Linked DNA regions of Danio rerio. The main gene of each other region encodes a partner of the protein of the gene in region 2 in a complex. Links are inferred from orthologs where the notes say so. Each region holds a gene or a part of one and is shown on either strand. Other genes may lie near its edges.

Region 1 (7,175 bases), about 14 Mb from region 2:
GATTCTGACAGAGTCCAAAGACATGCGGTACAGGTGAATTGGGTAGACTAAATTGTCCGTTGTGTATGAATGTGTGTGTGGATGTTTTCCAGAGATGGGTTGCGGCTGGAAGGGCATCTGCTGCGTAAAAACTAGCTGGATAAGTTGGCGGTTCATTCCACTGTGGCGACCCCGGAATAACAAGGGACTAAGCCGACAAGAAAATGAATGAATGAATACTCAGATTTTAATATGATTAAGATAATACTCTTATTAAGAGTCGACCAAGTAAGCAGCGATTTTTGATTACAATAAAGGACCACCGAGTCACGAAATGCAGAGGCTTTTCTTTCCATTCACCATGCGGTATCAAATTCTATTAAAACAGAAGTCGAAAGTTAAAAGTGACATTAATTGTTTTATACTGAAACTTTCCTTCAAAAAGTGCTTCCTTGGTCTTCTTATCCATATTTCTTTGCATGTTATACACACGTCGACCACAACAGGAAATAAAAAAACCCTGCAATGCGTTAATTATTTTAAATTAATTGCATGCATTACACTAATTTTGACAGCACTAAATACAAACATTAAAAAAACACTTGTATTACATTTAAAATAATAAACTATTGTAACTTATATTTTAACAATTAAATGATTAAGTTCAATTCATAAAAAATATTTTTTAATCCTGATAAAGCATACATAACGCAAACAGTTAGTCATAATTATTCGCCCCCGTTTACCTCCCCCCACCCCCATTTCTGTTTAACGGAGAGATTTTTTCAATACATTTCTAATCCTCATAGTTTTCATTACTCCTTTCTAACAACCGATTTATTTCATATTTGCCATGATGACAGTAAACAATATTTTATTTAGACTTTTCCAGAACTTTCAAGTACATTTTCATGACGTAATGTTTCATGTAATGTCTACATATACATGGTAAATAATAAGAAAATCAATGACGTTCAAATTTATTACAGCATATCATAAAACACGCAACAATCTATTTTGTTTAAATTTATTTTTATGTGAGCAAGTTTTTGGCCAAGGACAGAAAGTAAGACAACTAACCAATATTGAAGTTAGGGCTGCACAATATATCGTTTTAGGAATGTAATCGATATCGCAGTGTGTGCATCCACAATAGTCACATCCCAGCATATGCAATGTTGGAATTATAGTTTAATTATAATGGAGTAGAAGTTTATCATCTGCACGCATCTTTAAAGAGATAGTTCACCCAAAAATGACAATTTTCACAAGAAATGCTTTGTAACTTTATTAAAGATTAAATAATATGCAATAAAGACTATGCAGTGTTTATTATTCAATATCTGTACATGAATAGTGAATACCTGAAAACTATCATTAGCTTTTATCTTTATTATATTTTATTTATCTATGCATGAAATTAATTTGTTATATATTATTCAAGATTCCCCCCGGTCAATCCAAATAAACCTGTAAAATCATCTGGCAAAATTGTATTTATATGGCAATATATATCACAGAAACACAAAATATGGTAATGTCAGATTTTTTCAATATCGCGCAGCCCTAATTCAAGTATACAGATATTTGTTAAACTACTTTCTATGATTCTTCCAAAACTTTGTGGGTTTTTCTGGTTTTCCAAAACTTTTCCAGGCCTGGAAAATGCCATGTCAAAATTCTATGACTTTTCAGGGTTTCTATGACTGTATGAACCCTGGTTTGTTATGTAGAATATCGAAAAAATATATAGCTTAAACGGGCTAATAATTTTGTCATTAAAATGGTGTTTGAAAAATTAAAAACTGCTTTTATTCTAGCCGAAATAAAACAAATAAGACTTTCTCTAGAAGAAATAACATTATCAGACATACTGTGAAAATTTTCTACTCTGTTAAACATCATTTAGACAGGATAATAAATAAATAAATAAATAAATAAATATCTAATATATAATATAAGGGGCGGCTAATAACTCTGACTTGATTTTCAGATTTCAGGCCTGCTTGATCTCAAGTCATAACTCATAATAACTTTTTGTCTGACTGAAGCCATATTGTGTCTGATCAGCAAACTTTGATCAATGACAAAAAAATCAAAACAATTTGAATGTTACCATACAAGTTCCATGTTAACACACTTACCCATTTTAATACATAAAACTTGAGAAAATTTTTCAAATATAAAAATTCACAAAGACGAAAGCTATTATTAAATTTCATAGTTGAAAATATTTTTAAATACATAATATAATTAAATTTATAAGTGCATATAATCTATATAAATGGTAACAATTTCTTAATTAAACGATATTACATTTTACAAACAAAATACTGAAGTAATTTCTTCATGCAGAAATGATTCATGTGTAGACTATCATAACTGTTAAAAGAGGGAATTTAACTATAACTCAATGCTAAAACAGCTACTATAACATTGTTTATCAATATGTTGACCTTTTTGGATTCTCAGAAGCTATAGAAATGAAAACATGTCAAACAGAAAATACATTGGGACTAGGCATGGGATGACAACTGTTTTCAAGGTTTACCGCGGTTTGGAAAAAGTCCAGGTTTTAAAACATTCAAAATTTTCATGTATTTCATTCCTAAGGTATGTGTAAGATTTTTTATTTACGCTTTTTTAGGCCAACATCTTCAGCAGAGTAGATATCCAAATATGTCGTTTTAAATTGTAGAGAAATTTGTGTTTTTGAAGGCAGCAGAAGAACGTGTTTTTTTTTTTTTAGACATTTAAAAGAAAATATTTTAGAGTTGTGATCACAAAACTGTGATATTTCTATCTAAGGCAGTGGTTCTCAAACGTTTTTCATCAAGTACCACCTCGGAAAAAAATTGTCTTTGCAAGTACCACCATAATGAGCAGTTTTGAAATACAGTAGCGTATTAGGTCTAGTAAAGCAGCTTAAGCTCTGTACAGTTTAAAAAAAGAAATAACTCCTGGTTTGTTAGCACCTGGAAAAGTTGCCTAGACCTCATAAATATAGGCTTCATGTCATCATATTCGTATATAAATCATTTTTGATAATTTCTTTAAATATATGTAGCATGTACATATTACATATTTGATTCATCCGCGTACCACTAGAAGAAGGCCTGCGTACCACTAGTGGTACACGTACCACAGTTTGAGAACCACTGATCTAAGGTTATCATAGCATCAGAATTCTAAACCACCCATGCCTAATTGGGACCATTGTTATTGTTTACGTCCCTCAAAATGGTCTAAAGTTTCAACAGATTCAAGGATATTTTTTAAATAATTTAAATAAAATATACTGCTAGTTTTCTAAAACTAATATAGCTTTCATATACTATAACCATAAGTTAAAGATATATTTACACTATAAAGGGATAAATCACAGGGAAAAAAAATAATAACAGACTCTTTATTCTCCCTCAAGTTTATTCCTTCTGTTGAACACAAAAGATATTTTGTAACAAGCTGAAAACATTGACTACCATAGTAAGAAAAACAAATGCAATGGAAGTCAAAATATATTTGTTCAACCGAAAAAATTAAGTTAAACTGGTTTGGAACAAAATAAAAAGTGAGTAAATTATGAAAATATAAAATAACTTTTGGTTGAACCATCCCTTTAAGATGATCATACTGCGTACAAACTGAACCAAATACAACATCATGAGCTCAAATAGTTTTGTGAATTTTGTGCATTTCTTCGTGTTAAATTAAAAATTAGTATTATTCTTTGTCTAGTAGTGTAGTCAATTTGAAACTAGAATGAACTTTTTAAAAGGCTAATATGGGTTAAACCCTGGACTGATCAACCAATGGGCTTAACAAATACCTGAAAAAACCTTAATCTTACCCAGTCTCTCCTTTGTTGATAAACTTCTGTACTTCTTTGACTCCTCGTCGGATCTGTTTAACTTTAGCCGCTAAGAAAATATAAATATAATAATGAATAACACTCATAACCAATGAACAAATGACTGCAACCACGTGTCTGCAACATATTAAACCTACAGACAGCGATATTTAGTATACTTTCATTCACACTCGCAGGCAATAACGTTACTCTTTATGAATGTTAAAAACAAGTTCTGAACACGTGTTTACCTTTCTTGACGCATTTGTAGAGCTTTTTGCTAAGTTTTCGCGATGCTAGCGGGTTTGCGATTGGGTTAATATTAGCTATCAACTCTTGATATGATTTTTCCGTCCCTCCGGTTTCTTCTTCCCCGGCTTTCTCCTTCTTTACCTTTGTCATCTTTTGTTAAAATGTACACAAATATACTTTAGCGATTAACTTAAGGCTGATAGTGTTGCAGGCACAGGATGCAAGGCACAACACACGTGCGGTGACTATAAACGTATTTCCGGTGTTTTTCGAACACTGCAGTATTTCCTCCATAGAGTCGAATAATACATAGATGCCGCTCTCGACGGTGAAGTCTAGATACAGCTGCGGATCATTTTTGTATAACAATAATATTTTATTAGTAATATATTTTTAATATATTGTATAACACTGTATAACAATAATATTTTTACAGTATTGTGACGGTTGAGTTTAGGGGCAGACGTTAATGAAATACCATTTATTTATTTATAATAAATAAGTGCGGCAAAACGGCCGTTTTTACATCACTGTATAAGCTGGCTTTAGGGTTGGGGCAGACGCTAATAAAATACAATAAATAGGAAACTTAATAAACAATATAAATGATTACTGTTAATTTCCGGCCGCAACCGTATCTGAGCTAGAAACCGCTCCAGACTCCGTCCGCCAACGGTAAATTTAGCTTGCACTTACCACTTCGATTTTAATTTATAAAGAAACTGGACATTTAGAGGGGGAAATGTAGGTATTTTATAATGGCATCTTAATTCATGGTTTTATCAGCAGTATTGTGGGGAAATCATTTTACAATCTAAAGTCATTTGGAAAAATTAGTTAAACGTGTTTACTTTTCAAGAATGTATATGTTATTGTGAAAGATTACTTTTTATTATACACATCAACTAATGCATTCGTGTTGCTAAAAATACATTAAAATCTATTGTAGATATATTCACACTTGCTTGTTTTTACAGTCAACTTCTCGAATATTTTGCTCGTTACATGGCAGAATCTAAAAGAGGCATCTATGTATCTACATCTAGAATGTCGTGTTTTTGAGTTGTTTTAAAAACACTGACCCCTAGTGCACAAAATGAACAAACGAAAAGAAAAGACTTTTATTCAGTCATCAGCCTCACACATCCACTCAAAACTAAAGAGTTTCCATCATTTACAAAAAAAAATTGCATGAGTAAAAACTCAGCTTAAATGAAAATGTAAATAGATTACAGTTTCAGTTCTTCTTCTAAGCTACAAAAAATATGTAAACTATCAGGGCAAACTATTTCAAACAGAATAAATACATAAATATTTTTTATGTTCACTTTATCTCCCAAATAGCACGAAGCTCATTTGCACTTTGGATGCATATCTATATATAATGTGCATTTCTCCCATCCAAAAGAGAAAACGTTTGTCTTTTGTTTTGGATACTGGTGGCCTTCAACACTTTACACATTCAACAACTTTCTGGAAAGGTTACAATAATGCTATATGCATTAAAATTAGTGACCATGAACTAAACGTTTGCTAAAGGTTTACAGCATTTACTAATATCATGGACAATGAACTAATTAGATATACATCTACTAAACATTACCATGATGAATAAACGCCTTAAACATGATTGTTCATTGTTAATTCATAACCAAATCCTCAACTGTTGTTAAACACACATCATCAAACTGTAGTGTTACTAATATTCTCACCAATCTCATATGCTGCTTTTCCCTCTAAACTAGTATCACATACGGAATCCACTATAATAAAGGCGTAAAGTGCATTTCCCGGGTCAATTTAACACTGCAACACACAAAAAGACAACCTTTCCAGACATTAAATGGGCACTGGACATTGTGTAAATCAGGGGTTCAAAACAAAAACTGGTGTAGAAGCTTACAACAACAAAACATTTATAAATACATATAAATAACCATTACTTCAAAGAGTAAGTCAAACATGTAGTCGTCTAGAGATGTAAGAACAATAGCATCGTACAAACTATGAATGTACAAAAGCATTAGCGGGACAAGAAGTGAACCAAAGTCCTGTCACCGCTCTTGAGTCTTGACAGCGATACCCACGAGGGCATGGCGAATGGTGCGTCCGTGCAGCATGTAACCGTCTTGCTTGACCATGGCGATGGTTCCAGGCTCCGCGCCCTCGGCTGGAGTATGGCAGACGATTTCGTGCTGATAGGGGTCATATGTGGTTCCCACAGGGGTCATCTTCTCCAGTCCGTGCTTGGTGAAGATGTCCTGCAGCCGCTCCTGAATGTGTGCCAGGTTTTGTGCCAGCTGCTGTGCTCCATCGCTCTCCTCAACTGTTAAGTTCTTCTCCAGAAGGTCTGCCACTTCTACCAGGTCACGGCAGAAACTCTGAATCCCTGCAGGAGGACAATTATGCTTAATGTGGGACTGAGAGATTTACGAGACACCAAGGTATGCGTGCATTAAGTGTATAGTTAGTTATACCAAAAAGTTTGGCGTCCTCGACAAATTTCTGTGTTCTTCTTCTAACATTGTCTGAGTCTGCAACGGCTCGCTTGTATCGCTCCTGTGAAAAGCACAGTTAATTAACAATTGACAAAAACTAAATTAGAAACAACAATTAAACATTTAGATACAATGTTAAAAGTGAAGGCCAATATTCACTTGTTAAGTCGTGACGTATAAAATACTGTTTCCGGGTCCAGGCCGCTAGTCATTTGAAAGGAGAAAATGTTAATTTGTGCCCAATTTTAAGTCATATCACACATTAAAATGATTTTTATATGCAACAATCTCTGGACTTGCTGCATCACAGTCACCAATATTTGAACAATTTATAAAAAAATGAATCACTTTCTAGCCATTTGATATTAGGCATGGAACTAAATATTGCAATTGTGATTTTTGAAAGCATGACATCACTTTGCAAACATTATCAAACATTATGCTTATCCTTGCCATTTGTTGAGTCTCCTCATTCAGTCTAATAGAGCAATTGGACCTGGAAGCCACTTCATGTGACGTCACATTAAACAAGCAGATAATTCTGATTTGCTTATTATCTGGTACAAATCGTATAAATATAGCAATTGTAAATATAG
Region 2 (5,576 bases):
GAGAGACACATATCCACGCAAATGGGGTCTTGGACCAAAGGTAATGAACATTGAGAGAAATTTGACGCCATGATGTAGGCTTGAACTCTGGTTATATCAACTCAAAATTAACCCTGTAATCCAAACTAGTGCAATCAGGCTTTGTTGTAGAACGACGTTGATCACTTTGTTTACTCTGGAGTTCATGAGCATGTGCAGATGAAGGCAGGACAATAGTAGCAAGCAGCCAATCACATGCCTTGAAATTAAGATATTTAGATTTTTTTTAGTTTCTTCTGTGAGTAAATTAACAATTCGCAGCCAAAATGTGTAAGTGGAATTTAAAAATGCTTGTACGCTCATAAAAAGAGCTGCTAAAAGGAAGTCATTTTGGTTTATTAATGCAAATGAAGTTAAATCCAATCTCTCGGCAGTATAAAGTCACAGTTTTATCTAAAACAACAATTGTGTGTTCATGGGTCGGTATAAGATTCTGACAGTATCATAACCTTGGACAAAAATATCACAATATTGTTATTACTGCTCTAAAATATAATCTTTAAAAAAAAAAACAACAACATTTTTTTTCCCCCTTTTAAAAACAATATATATTTAAAAAAAAATTAAATTTAAAATATTCTGTAGCAGTAAACGTGTCAAATAATGAAAATGAATTATTGACTTGTGCTCTTTTCATTAGTTTCTAAAACACCGATTTCTTTACAATTTGAAACGGCATCTTTGAATATCTTTTCTGCTGGAGATACTGTTGTCCTAAAAACTAAAAGTAAATTAAAAAAATATATATTTTGGCTGTTTTAAAAACCTTTTTTTTTCCCAAACCATGGTATCCCTTCAAAACGGTTATCGTCCCATGCCTAGTTAATGGCAGAACCTATTGTATTTTCAGACCCGTAGCCAAGCAGAGGGGTATGTGGTTCAAAAGATCCACCCCCCCACTGACAAAGTCCATAATTTGGCCCCTTAATGAGCTCATTTGTCTCGATTTTGACAGTATGCCATAATAAATTGTGAAAATAATCGATAGAAGTAGGTTTTAAGGGTGCTTTCACACCTCCACTTTTGTTTGGGAACCTGTCTCATTTGCCCAGTTAGTGCTGTTCGTTTGGCATATGTGAAACCAGCAATCATGCTAGGATCTGTGCCAAATCAATCGCTCCGAAATCGTTTGAATGAGGTGGTCTCGGCTCGATTAAAACTTAACTTTGGAGCGGATCCATTGCAGTGAGAAAGCGATACGATCCGAGCGCGGTTATATCACTGTGTTTTATGGATATGTAATAGGCATACGGCGATATGAAGAGAGAATTATAGGGCGGGAAATTTCGCGAGTTTCCAGATGCCCGCAAACGTGTGATAATCTCCTGGTAATCTTGCGTCTTCCTCCCGGTCCTCAAATGGGCTACGTCGTGCATCATTCTCACCCCTCCCCACCCCGTCTCTCCTCACTCTACAGATGGACGCACCTTGTTAAACACCACCAAACCACCACCTCTCCTGACAGCTGACCGAGACTCTGCAAAATTAACCCTGACACTGACCAATGTGAGGAGAGTTTACTCACACGTGACTTGTTTTAGCTCTTTTGGTCCGTTTAGAAACTTTGCTGTGTGAAAGCGAACCGCGCCAAGAATAAAGAGCAACAATGTAACAATAGTAATCTCTATTTCGGAACAACTGAATCGATTCACAGGTGTGAAAGCAGCCTAAGATAGATAAAATTACATTTAAATGGACAAATTCTGACTTGCTGACCTGTTTATTTACCTATAGGGTAGTTTTTGAATTAAAACATGTTTTAACAGATTCCTAATTAGTTTTTTCATGATGAATAATACATTTAGTGTTTCATATTTCTTAATTTTAAAATGTTTAATTTTAAAAATCTAATTATTTTATTTTTCAAATGCACATTTGTAAAACACTTCATGGTTAAATAGTAGTATGGTGAGCACTTTGTAGGAAATATTTTTGTTGCACTAAAGTTTGATTATAATAATCAATCAACAAGCTAATCCAGAAAAGGTTAGTGCTTTAAAGCAGTGTTTGAAATTCATAATTTAATAGAAAATGAGGTGAATAACTGCAAAAAGGTCTTTATTTATTTTGAGAAAAGAACCACCCCTTTTAATAGTCTGCCGTATAGTTCAAATCCTAAGCACAGTGTGGTGTGTGATTAATTTAAATGTTACTGCTGGAAAGTCATTTTATTGGCTCCCTGTGTCTTGTTGTGGGAGTTTTTCTTAAGTCGGATATATCAAGTTAATGCTGAATCATTTTCTGCTTTTAGGACCCTCATAAATCCCTTTTTTTTTTTTTTTTTTTTTTTTTTTTTTTTTTTTTTTTTTTAACAAATTTAGTTTGGCTTCAGATGCCTCCTGCCTATTTTAAGTGAGTACGTAAAAATATGAAAGTTTGAGTCTGGAGATACGAAAGAGACAGCCTATTGAAATACAATAGCTTAAATGTCTTTGTGGTCTCTAAACTAAAGCATATTAGCAGTACAGCATAATATACAATGGCAATCCAAAATTATTTAAATGTTCCTGCTGCCTAAAATCCAGAATTGGTGCGTGTTTAAACAGGCTAGCCAGCTAATCCATCTTCATGGTACACGCCCCAGAGTAAATGTTAATAATGATGTACTATTTAAATGTGGCAACTCCTGCATTTCAGGCCAGCCAGAAGAAAATGATGATCCAAAAGGGACTTCTAGACAAACATGGCAAACCAAACAACAGCACACCTTCAGACTGGAAAGAGGGCTATGTAGACTACAGGTATGCATGTTTCCGTGTTCGCACACATTCCTGCAGACTGTTATCCCTTTTTGTTCTGCTGTGAGCCTAGAGGGAGTCTGTCTGCTAAAGCAAAACCCTGAGCTCAGGCTAATGCTGTCTGCACGATGTGTGCACGATGGACACCTGAGCTCTGTGGACATCTGCATAACTCTTCCTGATCCTGATCTTTCTTTTAATGATCACTTGTGCAGGTTTACACTGACTGCATTAATGCAGGCTAAACGTGTAGCAACACAAAATGCCTTTAATAATCTTAAGAAAGCATTTTGGTGCCTTCACAACTTCTGTCGTCATTATATTTTACACGAAAGCCAAAATGTTTTTATGTAAGATCTATATAGAGGCGATCTCTTATTCGTTATTAATCATGCCTTTTAAACTGTGGGTTGTGATCTTAGCACCCCTAGATATTAGTAAGAGTATTGTTCGTTGTATAGGATATCTATAAGCTAGTGTGCTCAAACAGTAGATGTTTATATCAGGGTCCCCGCGGGGTCTTAAAGTATTAAATCTTAAATTAAAAAAATTGACATTTATGGCTTTAAAAAATCTTAAATTTGTTGTTCTTGGTCTTAAATATTTTTGCACAGGTCATATTTTTGCGATGTCCATGTAACGCTACATCTAATGCTCATTTAAATTCTTGTTGTTGTTGCTTGGTTTTTGGGGTTGTTGTAGTTTTATGACTATTATTACTTTATTTTACTAGTCCAATTGTAATTTTCTGTTTTACAACTGCAAAAAAGTCAACTTGCAATAGCCAATCAGCTTTCTGATATTAAACTCAAATGTAACATCATCGCTGTGTTTGCGGAAGTTCACTTTGAGTGCGCGCGACATGATTTCGGCTGGCAGAGTATGCCGTTATTTCACTGACAAATGTCGCAAGTGCAGTTTTATAAGTCGAGAGCGCTGAATAACGAGAGAGTGAATCTCTGCTCACGCGCCGGTTTCCTTTGTTCATGGACAAAACTGCTTGCGAGCTCTCAAAACACTGGCTGCTCACGTGCAAATGATCTGCTCTCGCTCCGTCGGACTCCTTTCGTGCTTTTCCAGAGAAGCTTCAGCATACTGTAGTAGTAAGAATAGTGAACTGATAAAATGAAATACAGTTTAGTTTTACTACATGTAAGTGTGTTGAATTGTTGAAAAATATACCCCATATTGTAAAAAAAAAAAAACTAAAGCACTGGGTAGTTTGTTTTTAATACAATTTGTTACCATAGCAACCATAGTATTACCACAACAGAGTAATTGAAGTACTTTACAAAACACTGTACAGCAGACACTAGTTCACTTTATTTTAGTGATAAAATGGGATTGATAGTGGGATTTATTTAAAGAGTGAATAGTACAGTATAATACAGCTATAATACCTTATCTAATTTTTACCCATTTTCTATCACAGCTACATTTCTGCTTGCCAGAATGACCAATATTTATTGGCTAGAAATTGCAACAGCCATGGGAAAGGAGGAAAGTTTTTGTAAAACTTTGGAAAAACTCTGAGGGATGAGTTTGTTAAAACAAAAAAAGAGGCCCCCAAACACATCTTCAATGATAATGATTATCATTTTATTTGTCTGATTTTACTTTGTTTTTTTGGAGCGCCCCCTGTCATTTAAAAAAAAATATCTCAATGGTGAACGTGTCAAGTATAAAAGCCTTAATCCGTTTCGTGAGTTGTGCGGTGCCAGGTGAAAGTATAAATCTGCATTAAGATGTTTGTGTTTCTGTAGTTCAATGGTGCATTTAACCTGACTTCACTACTGTTCAATTTAAATAACTTTATTTTACCCCTAATTTTGTGCTTTTACATTTTCTTTCTGGTGTTTTTGATATTTCGATATAGCTCTTAAATTTAATACTTAATGGTCTTAAAAGGTGTTAAATTTGACATTGTTATCTGCAGAGACCCTGTATATCAGCTTTGTCTACTAAATGTGAATTTTCCAAAGCTCAATTTGTCTCCTAAATGGATTAACAATTGACTATTTTATTTACTCTTATTACTTGCATCGCTACTATGAAATGTTAATTCATTCATTTTTTTTTTCCTGTTGTAGCACAACGAAGGTGAAAAAGGGTGGTGAAGCTTCTGCAAAGGTAAACCTGACTGCTGAAATGCATCAGTACTTTTAAATCCAATACTGATCGATATTGAATGTTTATTTTTTGTCCTTCAATGTTTGTTGTAGAGGAAACGAGACGAGAGTGGAAGTGAAGGCGAAGCTGCAGCTGCTGCTCAGGACACCTCAAAGACGGAGGAAGAAAGCAAGAAGGAAAAGAAGAAAAAGAAGAAAGAAAAGAAGCAGAAGTTGGCAGAGGAGGCAGCGGCCGAGGCTCCAGCGGAGGAAGAAACTGAGGTCAGCAAATAATATATCTGGACTCTTCAGCTTTATCCTGCTCTCACTGTAAAGATGAAACTGTAAATACGCATCTCTTTTCCCACAGGTTACAGAGAGCGCAAAGAAGAAGAAGAAAAAGAAAAAGGCCAAAGAGACTGAGGCAGACTCTGATTGAACACTCATACTGTAGAGGAGAGAATGTGGACTCTGCTAATGGACATTTATTCCTCCCTCCATTCATTCATCCGGTCAGTCATGTCTGCTGCAGTGTGATCGCGGACAGAACAGCGGCTCGATCAAGATCCATGAGTTTGAAGTTTGGTCTTTGGTTGCGGTTGTGATGCTACTTTGTTTTTCTTAAACGAGACCCGTGTTGTCTGGGTATATTCATGTATTTTGAATGGAGAATTTCCTTTTTTTTTATTGT
Region 3 (7,040 bases), on a different chromosome or scaffold from region 2:
TGTATGACAAAATATAGGGGCCCCTTCCTTAGATGTAGGTTAATAATGTCTCTGTAACTATTTTTGGCAGTATTTTGTTTCTTATTCCATTATTCTGGCTGATATCTTTTGTATTGTATTTTTGATTGTGCTGTATAATTGCTGTAATGTTTGCTAGGGTTTTGGTGCATGTTCCAGTTAGTATCAGGCAATAATACCAAAATAATTTTGTTAACATATATACAGGATGAGCGCTGATGCCTCACAGAAAGAAGGTCACTGGTTCATGCCTTGCCTGGGTGAGTTGGCGTTTCTATGTGGAGTTTGCATGTTCTCCCCTTGTTGATGTAAGTTTCCTCCTGGTGCTCCGATTTCCCCCAGAGTCCAAAGATAAGCGCTATAGGTGAATTGAGTAAGCTAAATTGTCCATAGTGTATGTGTGTGAATGAGTGTTTATGGGTGTTTCCCAGTGATGGGTTGCAGCTGCAAGGGCATCCACTGTGTAAAACATATGCTGGATTATTTAGCGGTTCATTCCGCTGTTTAATAAAGGATCTAAGCTGAAAAGAAAATGAATGAACGAATGATAAACACGATGAGTGCTGTCGCCTCACAGCAAGAAGGTCGCTGGTTTGAGCCTTGGTTGGCGTTTCCGTGTTAAGTTTGCATGTTCTCCCCATGTTAGTGTGGGTTTCCTCCGGGTGCTCTGGTTTCCCCCACAACCCAAAGACATGTGGTACAGGTGAATTGGGTAAGCTAAATTGTTCGTAGTGTATGTGTGTTTGGGTTTTCCAGTGATAGGTTGCAGCTGGAAGGGCATCTGCAGTGTAAAACATATGCTGGAGAAGTTGGCAGTTCATTTCACCGTGGCAAGCCCTGATTAGTAAAGGGACTAAGCCCAAAATATAATTAATAAATAAGTAAAATGTTTCTTTAAACAATACAATAATAAATAAATTAGGATTAATTTCTTTTAAAGATTTTTTTGGATAATTTCTAAAATTTTTGAAGAATTCACATATACTCTCATTGAATAATTCCAAAGTCTCTATAGATTAAAACCACTTCCACATAACATTAAGAGTATGCTTTTTACATTTAGGATTTTATTCCAATACTGGCATTTTAAAGCAATTTCTCTTGAGTAAATGTCCATAAATAAGTCTAGCTTGTCTAAAAGGCATATTGTGTGTGTGTGTGTGTGTGTGTGTATATATATATATATATATATATAAAGATTTTTGATTCCAAAGATTCCAAAAAGTGTATTATTTGATCACTAATCCCATTCTGCTTACCTTTATTTAGAATGTAAAGTGAGATTTTGAACTTCTTAATTCTTCCTGTAGGTGTAATTCAGTTAAATTTATCTGCTTTTTCATTTCCAAGCAAGCAAACACATCCTGGGATCAAGCATTAAACTATATTTTATATATTTTGTGGCACCATGAAAAAAAACAAAAAACACTTCATTTCCTTGCAGCTCAAAAAAAAAAAAAAAAAACATCACATTCAAATTTCAGAAGGACCCTAAAGTTCACTTACACACTTATCTATAAAATTGAATGCATATGAAAAGCTAAAGGACAAGATCCGTGTAATTCTTTAAAGATGGAAGCGGAAGCTTTACATATGGAGTTTATTTCTCACATCAGAAGTGTGTATTGACAGAGTGCCAAACAGGATGCATTAAATCCTAAATGTACTGTAGCTTTTACTAAATGGCCTCACCTTCCTCTTCAACCCCAGCAGCATCTTGGCTTTTGCTCTTCTCCTCTGAAGGCTCATGGGCTATCTCTATCATAGGGAAATCAAGAGCCACATCCTCCTGCTGGAGTCGAGGCTGTTTCGCTGCTGGTTCCTCCTCTTCTTCCAGTGCTCCTTGAACAAGTGCTTCATGGGGAGGTTCTCCATCAGCCTCTGCTTCCTGTCCTGCAGCACCCTCACCACTCTGAGCAACACCGGACATCCTGTATTCACTGATAAATAAGTGTGCAGTGGCCTCTGAAAATATGAGCAAGTCATGGTAATTCAGTTATAGTTATATACAGTACACACATAAATTGTCTGAAAATGAAAAAATAAAAAAAGTCCTTGGAGATTATACATTTTCATTACCCATTTCTAACTTAAAAAACACATGCGAGACTTCTGTAAATCTATTTTTGCTCATTTATTATGAGAAATAAATGTATACTCTTTATTGTAAAATTCAGCAAAAATGCTTATACTTTCTTTGAAATGAAAAAAAACGCATAGAATTTAAATAGTAAGTAATATATAAAAAATGTTTCATTATAAAAATGTACTTGTAATGCCTTAATGAATACAATAGAAGTTCTCACTAAATATGACCTCTAACCCCTCCCCCTTATGTTGTTGCAATAGCCAAATAAACATTGTATAGGTCAAAATTATCGATTTATGTCAGAAATCATTAAGTAAATCATCTTTCATGAAGATATTTAGCAAGTTTTTTCCTGTAAATATATCAAAACCTATCATTTGATTAGTAATATGCATGGCTGGGAACTCAATCTGGACAACTGGCAATTTTCTCACTATTTGTATTTTATGCACCCTAAGCTTCAAGACATTCAAACAGTTGAATCTCAATCAAATATTGTCATATCTAAACAAGCCATACATCGATGGAATGCTTGTTTATTCAGAGGATATACATCTCAATTCCAAAATTTGACAGTCATAATTTTTTGATCCTGGGTCACCTATACATAATACATTCAATATATATACACTGTATGCAAAAAAAAAAAAAAAAAAAAACTCTGACATTGCACTCTAAAATTATTCTTTTTTCAGCCATTCATGTTTATGTTCAATAAGTTCACTTTAAAAGCTATGAAACATGAAAACAACTTATTTGCCATAAAAGTGAAATTACTGAACCTAAACAGGAAGCTGGGGGAAAAAGTCCAGTTTAGAAGTAAAGGTCAAACAGCACTTAGAGGTTTGTGCATCTGAACTCTTCATAAATAAACAGAAAGCATATTAAATGCAAGTGTTTATATTATTTCAATATACGTTTAGATAACTGAAATATGAAAATATGGATGGAATAGTGCATAATACAGCATAATACAGACATTCTTACAAAAAGAAAAAGTTATTCTGACTTGTACTTATTAAAACATACAATGGAACAAATTACCTTATGATATTTTAATGTATTTTAAATGATTAAAAACGTCTGCTTACAAATGAGTTAAAGACTAAAGTTTCGAATTAAAATTGCAACAAATCAGCATCTTGCGGCTGCACTGTGAGGCTTAAAATTGAGGTAAAGTTGGTTTTACATTCACACATTCAGAAATAGCAAACACTATTTAATTGACTCTGAACAATTTTGTACTTTAGTCTTTGGAGGCTAATATGATGTCCATATTTCGAGTTTGTAAAGAATGCTTTTCTGAAAATAGGCCTCCTATTAAGGTGAAAGTCCGAATGTCCGAATATAAAACCAACTTTAGGACTCTTTTAATGTCACCTAGTTACTCGTGTTGTTCTATTTTTGTCTGCTTGATAACCTTTTTAGAACACATAACGACACTGTCCCGTCCTGACATGTATTCTAGTGTATATGCAGATGTGTATAAATGCTGTCAGGTGTTAAGTTAACAATTTGGTGCGGCTGCATCACTAAAATTACAATTATCATAATCGTAATTATAAATATGTTGTGTTTAACAGCGGCATCACTCTACCTGTTGTTTCTTTAACTCGTGTCTGATGTGTCTTGTGCTCTGGCTCTTACAGAACACGCAGTCGTCCTCAGTGTTTGTGTTTTATTGAATTCAGAGAATAGTTTCCGAGCATCTCGACTACAAATGCACTATGTTAAACCAACAGTCAACAAAAACTCGCGCGTCGTGTTTGTAATCGCAGGGCGCCGCCATGCCTGCACTGTAAGCTTATCCAGGTCACGTGACTCTCGCGATATTTGCGTCATACTATGAAATATTTTTAGTACACTTTCGAAAAGCTTTAATGTATTTTGTCATATATTAGACTGTGTTTTGTTTGGTATTTTTCAATAAGCAAAAATAAAGACGTCTTCATACTGTTTAACAGAAATAATATCAATATTTCAGTGTAATGAAAGCTTTTATGACAAAACCTCGCCAGGCATATTCCCAAAACAGCCCTCAATAAGCTAAAGTGTCGTTTTGAAACTTTATATTTGCGGATATCCTTCAAATTACCATTGGATTTGACAACTGATAGAAAACTTTACTCACTAAATATAGAAAAAAGTTGCTTGGACCACTTAATAATCTTTATCGCTCATACTAAAAGATGATAAACGTAATCCACCCCTATTTTACATTTTTTTATTTAAAACATTAAAGTGGACAGTTTAATTGCATTTACTAAATATATAATTTTAAATGAATGTTACTGTTATACATTATATACTCACATCCTTGTGCATTTTTTTTTATTCACACACTGACAGTAAAGAAAGGCTTGTGTGTTATTTGTGCACGCCAGTGTGGAGATAAGATTATTTGTGAATCTCTAGTCAAATAAATATATTTTGATCATTGTTTCTAAATGTTATTTATTTTTTATTTTTTCCACATGGAAAAATAAATATTATTTAATTAGAGAAGAAAACATTAATGCTTTGAGAAACCCAGTCTGAATAGTTTTAAAAGCTTGAGGTTTAAAAAAAAGTGTACATCTCAAAAAAGATAGGGAGTGGTTGCGGGGACAAAATGATAGCGGTAGCTATGCAGTTAGGATACAGCTGCTATGGTTACTAGCACATTGCTGGCATGATTACCGTGTTACTAGCATGTTTAGCACAAAATTAGCATGTTGTTAACATTTTTGCATTAGCATGCTTTTAACATGATTAATATGTTGCTAGCCTATTTCTAGCATGATTAGCACATTATCAGCATGCTGATAACATTCTGGCATGATTAGCATGTTGCTAGCCTGTTTCTAGCGTGATTAGCACATTATTAGCATGTTGTTAACATTCTGGCATAATTAACTTTACTATTTCTAACGTGATTAGCATGTTGCTAGCATGATTAGCACATTGTAAATATTCTGGCATAATTAGCATGTTATTATGTTTCTAACATGATAAGCACATAGTTTCTAACATGATTTCCACATTAGCATGTTGTTAACATATTGATATGATTAACATGTTACAAGCATGTTTCTAACACAAATAGCATGTTGCTAACCTTTTTTTTAGCTTGATTAGCACAGTTCTAGTATGTTAATATCTTAGCATTATTAACATGCTACTAATATGTTTTAACATGATAATGTTGCTAGCATGTTTTTAGCATAATAATAACATTATTAGCATGTTGTTAACAACCTGGTATGATAAGCATGTTGCTAGCCTGTTTCTAACATGATCAGAACATTAGCCTACTAACATGTTGTTAACATTGACATAATTAACATGTTGCTAGCCTGTTTCTAGCATAATTAGCACATTATTAGCATGTTGTTAACATCCTGGTATGATTAGCATGCTTATAACATGATTAGCATGTTGCTAGCCTATTTTTAGCATAATTAGCACATTACTTGCATGTTTATAACATTCTGACATGATTAAATGTTACTAGCATGTTTCTAACATGATTAGCATGTTGCTAACCTGTTTCTAAAATAATTTGCACATTACTAACATGTTGTTAACATTCTGGCATGCTGGGTATGTTTCTAGCTTGAATAGTGTATTGCTAGCATGCTTCTAACATGATTAGGACGTTGTTAGCCTGTTTCTAGCATGATTATCACATTATTAGCATGTTGTTAACATTCTGGCATATATAACATACTAGCATGTTTTTGACTAGATTAGCATGTTGCTAACCTGTTTCTAGCATGTTACTACCCGCAGGCAAAGTATGTCACTTTATGCAGACAAAAATGAAAACCCTGACAACTAGTTTTTATGTAAACCACCAAACAGTGAGTCGACACAAGTTCTTTATTCTTTAAGTATTTATTACTTTTCTTCAAACAAACCAGAAACCCCAAAAACTATTTACACCAGGAATATTCAAACATTATCGTCAAATGGTTTGTGACCTTTTTATACAGCAAATTTTAGAAGACATCCACCTAAGATATGTGACAAGTTCTCATTATGCAGTGCTGATTTACAGTGAGCCATTTCCAATTTAATTCAGCGGATGATTTTAACACGAACAAACGGCTTACTGCAGTACTTTTGCCATTCATACTGACTGAATCAATAAATATATGAAACGCGTATTTTGATCATCGTTAACATTTTAAAACATGAATTTTTGCATACCAGCAAAGACATTCGGCATCTAGTTTAATCTGACCTGCAAAATTACACAATTCTATTTATCTTAAAGGCATAGTACACCCAAAAATGAAAATGTTCACACCATTTACTCAGACTTAAATGGTTCTAAACTTTTATGAAATGCTTTTCTCTGTTCAACACAAAACAATATAACCTAAAGAATGTTGCAAAAAAACAGCCAGTGACATCAATAGTAGGAATTTTAAAAATACAATGGAAGTCAATGGCTGTAATTCAGTATATCTTCCTTTGTGTTCAAAAGTTTGGATGATGACAGAATTTACATTTTTGGGTGAACTGTCCCTTTAAGAGGGTGCTACCTTATACAGATAATGATATCAAATCACATCCCTTCTGATCTTTAGCTCAGTAAAGGCTGAAAGAGATGAGCAAAACTATTTCTGATCACCCACTTCTATTCTGAGATCAAAGACCAACAGACGTTCGACAACAAACTGCGACCCAGTAACTACTTTTGCTTCTCATATTGACAATACAAATCCAAAAAATGGTTGTTCTGATGGGCTGCATCATTGTGAATACTCATCCAGTCACACCCAAGGTCATTTGTAATGTTTTAATAATCATTTTGCAGGTTATTAATGTTTCAAGGGTTTCTTAAATAAAATCACACACTATTATGTCAGAGCTAGTCTCGCTGAATGTTAACACTTCTTTTGTTTACACGTCTTTAAGTGTGCCATCATAGGCAGAACTCAACTGT

Evidence for each region.
Region 1: dkc1 (region 2) and nhp2 share a complex: the UniProt entries of both Homo sapiens proteins name them as parts of the H/ACA small nucleolar ribonucleoprotein (H/ACA snoRNP) complex. The link is inferred for Danio rerio from reciprocal best matches to the Homo sapiens genes DKC1 and NHP2.
Region 3: dkc1 (region 2) and wrap53 share a complex: the UniProt entries of both Homo sapiens proteins name them as parts of the telomerase holoenzyme complex. The link is inferred for Danio rerio from reciprocal best matches to the Homo sapiens genes DKC1 and WRAP53.

What each region holds. Positions count from the first base shown.
Region 1 is NC_133196.1:33,052,088-33,059,262, forward strand, and holds the start of nhp2 (H/ACA ribonucleoprotein complex subunit 2-like protein), read right to left. Parts: upstream 4,365-7,175; 5' UTR 4,232-4,364; coding exon 4,081-4,231; intron 3,900-4,080; coding exon 3,830-3,899; intron 1-3,829. UniProt on the Homo sapiens protein: Required for ribosome biogenesis and telomere maintenance. Part of the H/ACA small nucleolar ribonucleoprotein (H/ACA snoRNP) complex, which catalyzes pseudouridylation of rRNA.
Region 2 is NC_133196.1:47,459,406-47,464,981, forward strand, and holds part of dkc1 (H/ACA ribonucleoprotein complex subunit DKC1), read left to right. Parts: coding exon 1-40; intron 41-2,302; exon of another isoform or gene 2,303-2,676; coding exon 2,677-2,780; exon of another isoform or gene 2,781-4,384; intron 4,385-4,568; exon of another isoform or gene 4,569-4,867; coding exon 4,868-4,907; exon of another isoform or gene 4,908-4,999; coding exon 5,000-5,167; intron 5,168-5,255; coding exon 5,256-5,324; 3' UTR 5,325-5,576.
Region 3 is NC_133182.1:20,882,056-20,889,095, reverse strand, and holds the start of wrap53 (telomerase Cajal body protein 1), read right to left. Parts: upstream 3,912-7,040; 5' UTR 3,705-3,911; intron 1,984-3,704; 5' UTR 1,949-1,983; coding exon 1,711-1,948; intron 1-1,710. UniProt on the Homo sapiens protein: RNA chaperone that plays a key role in telomere maintenance and RNA localization to Cajal bodies. Specifically recognizes and binds the Cajal body box (CAB box) present in both small Cajal body RNAs (scaRNAs) and telomerase RNA template component (TERC).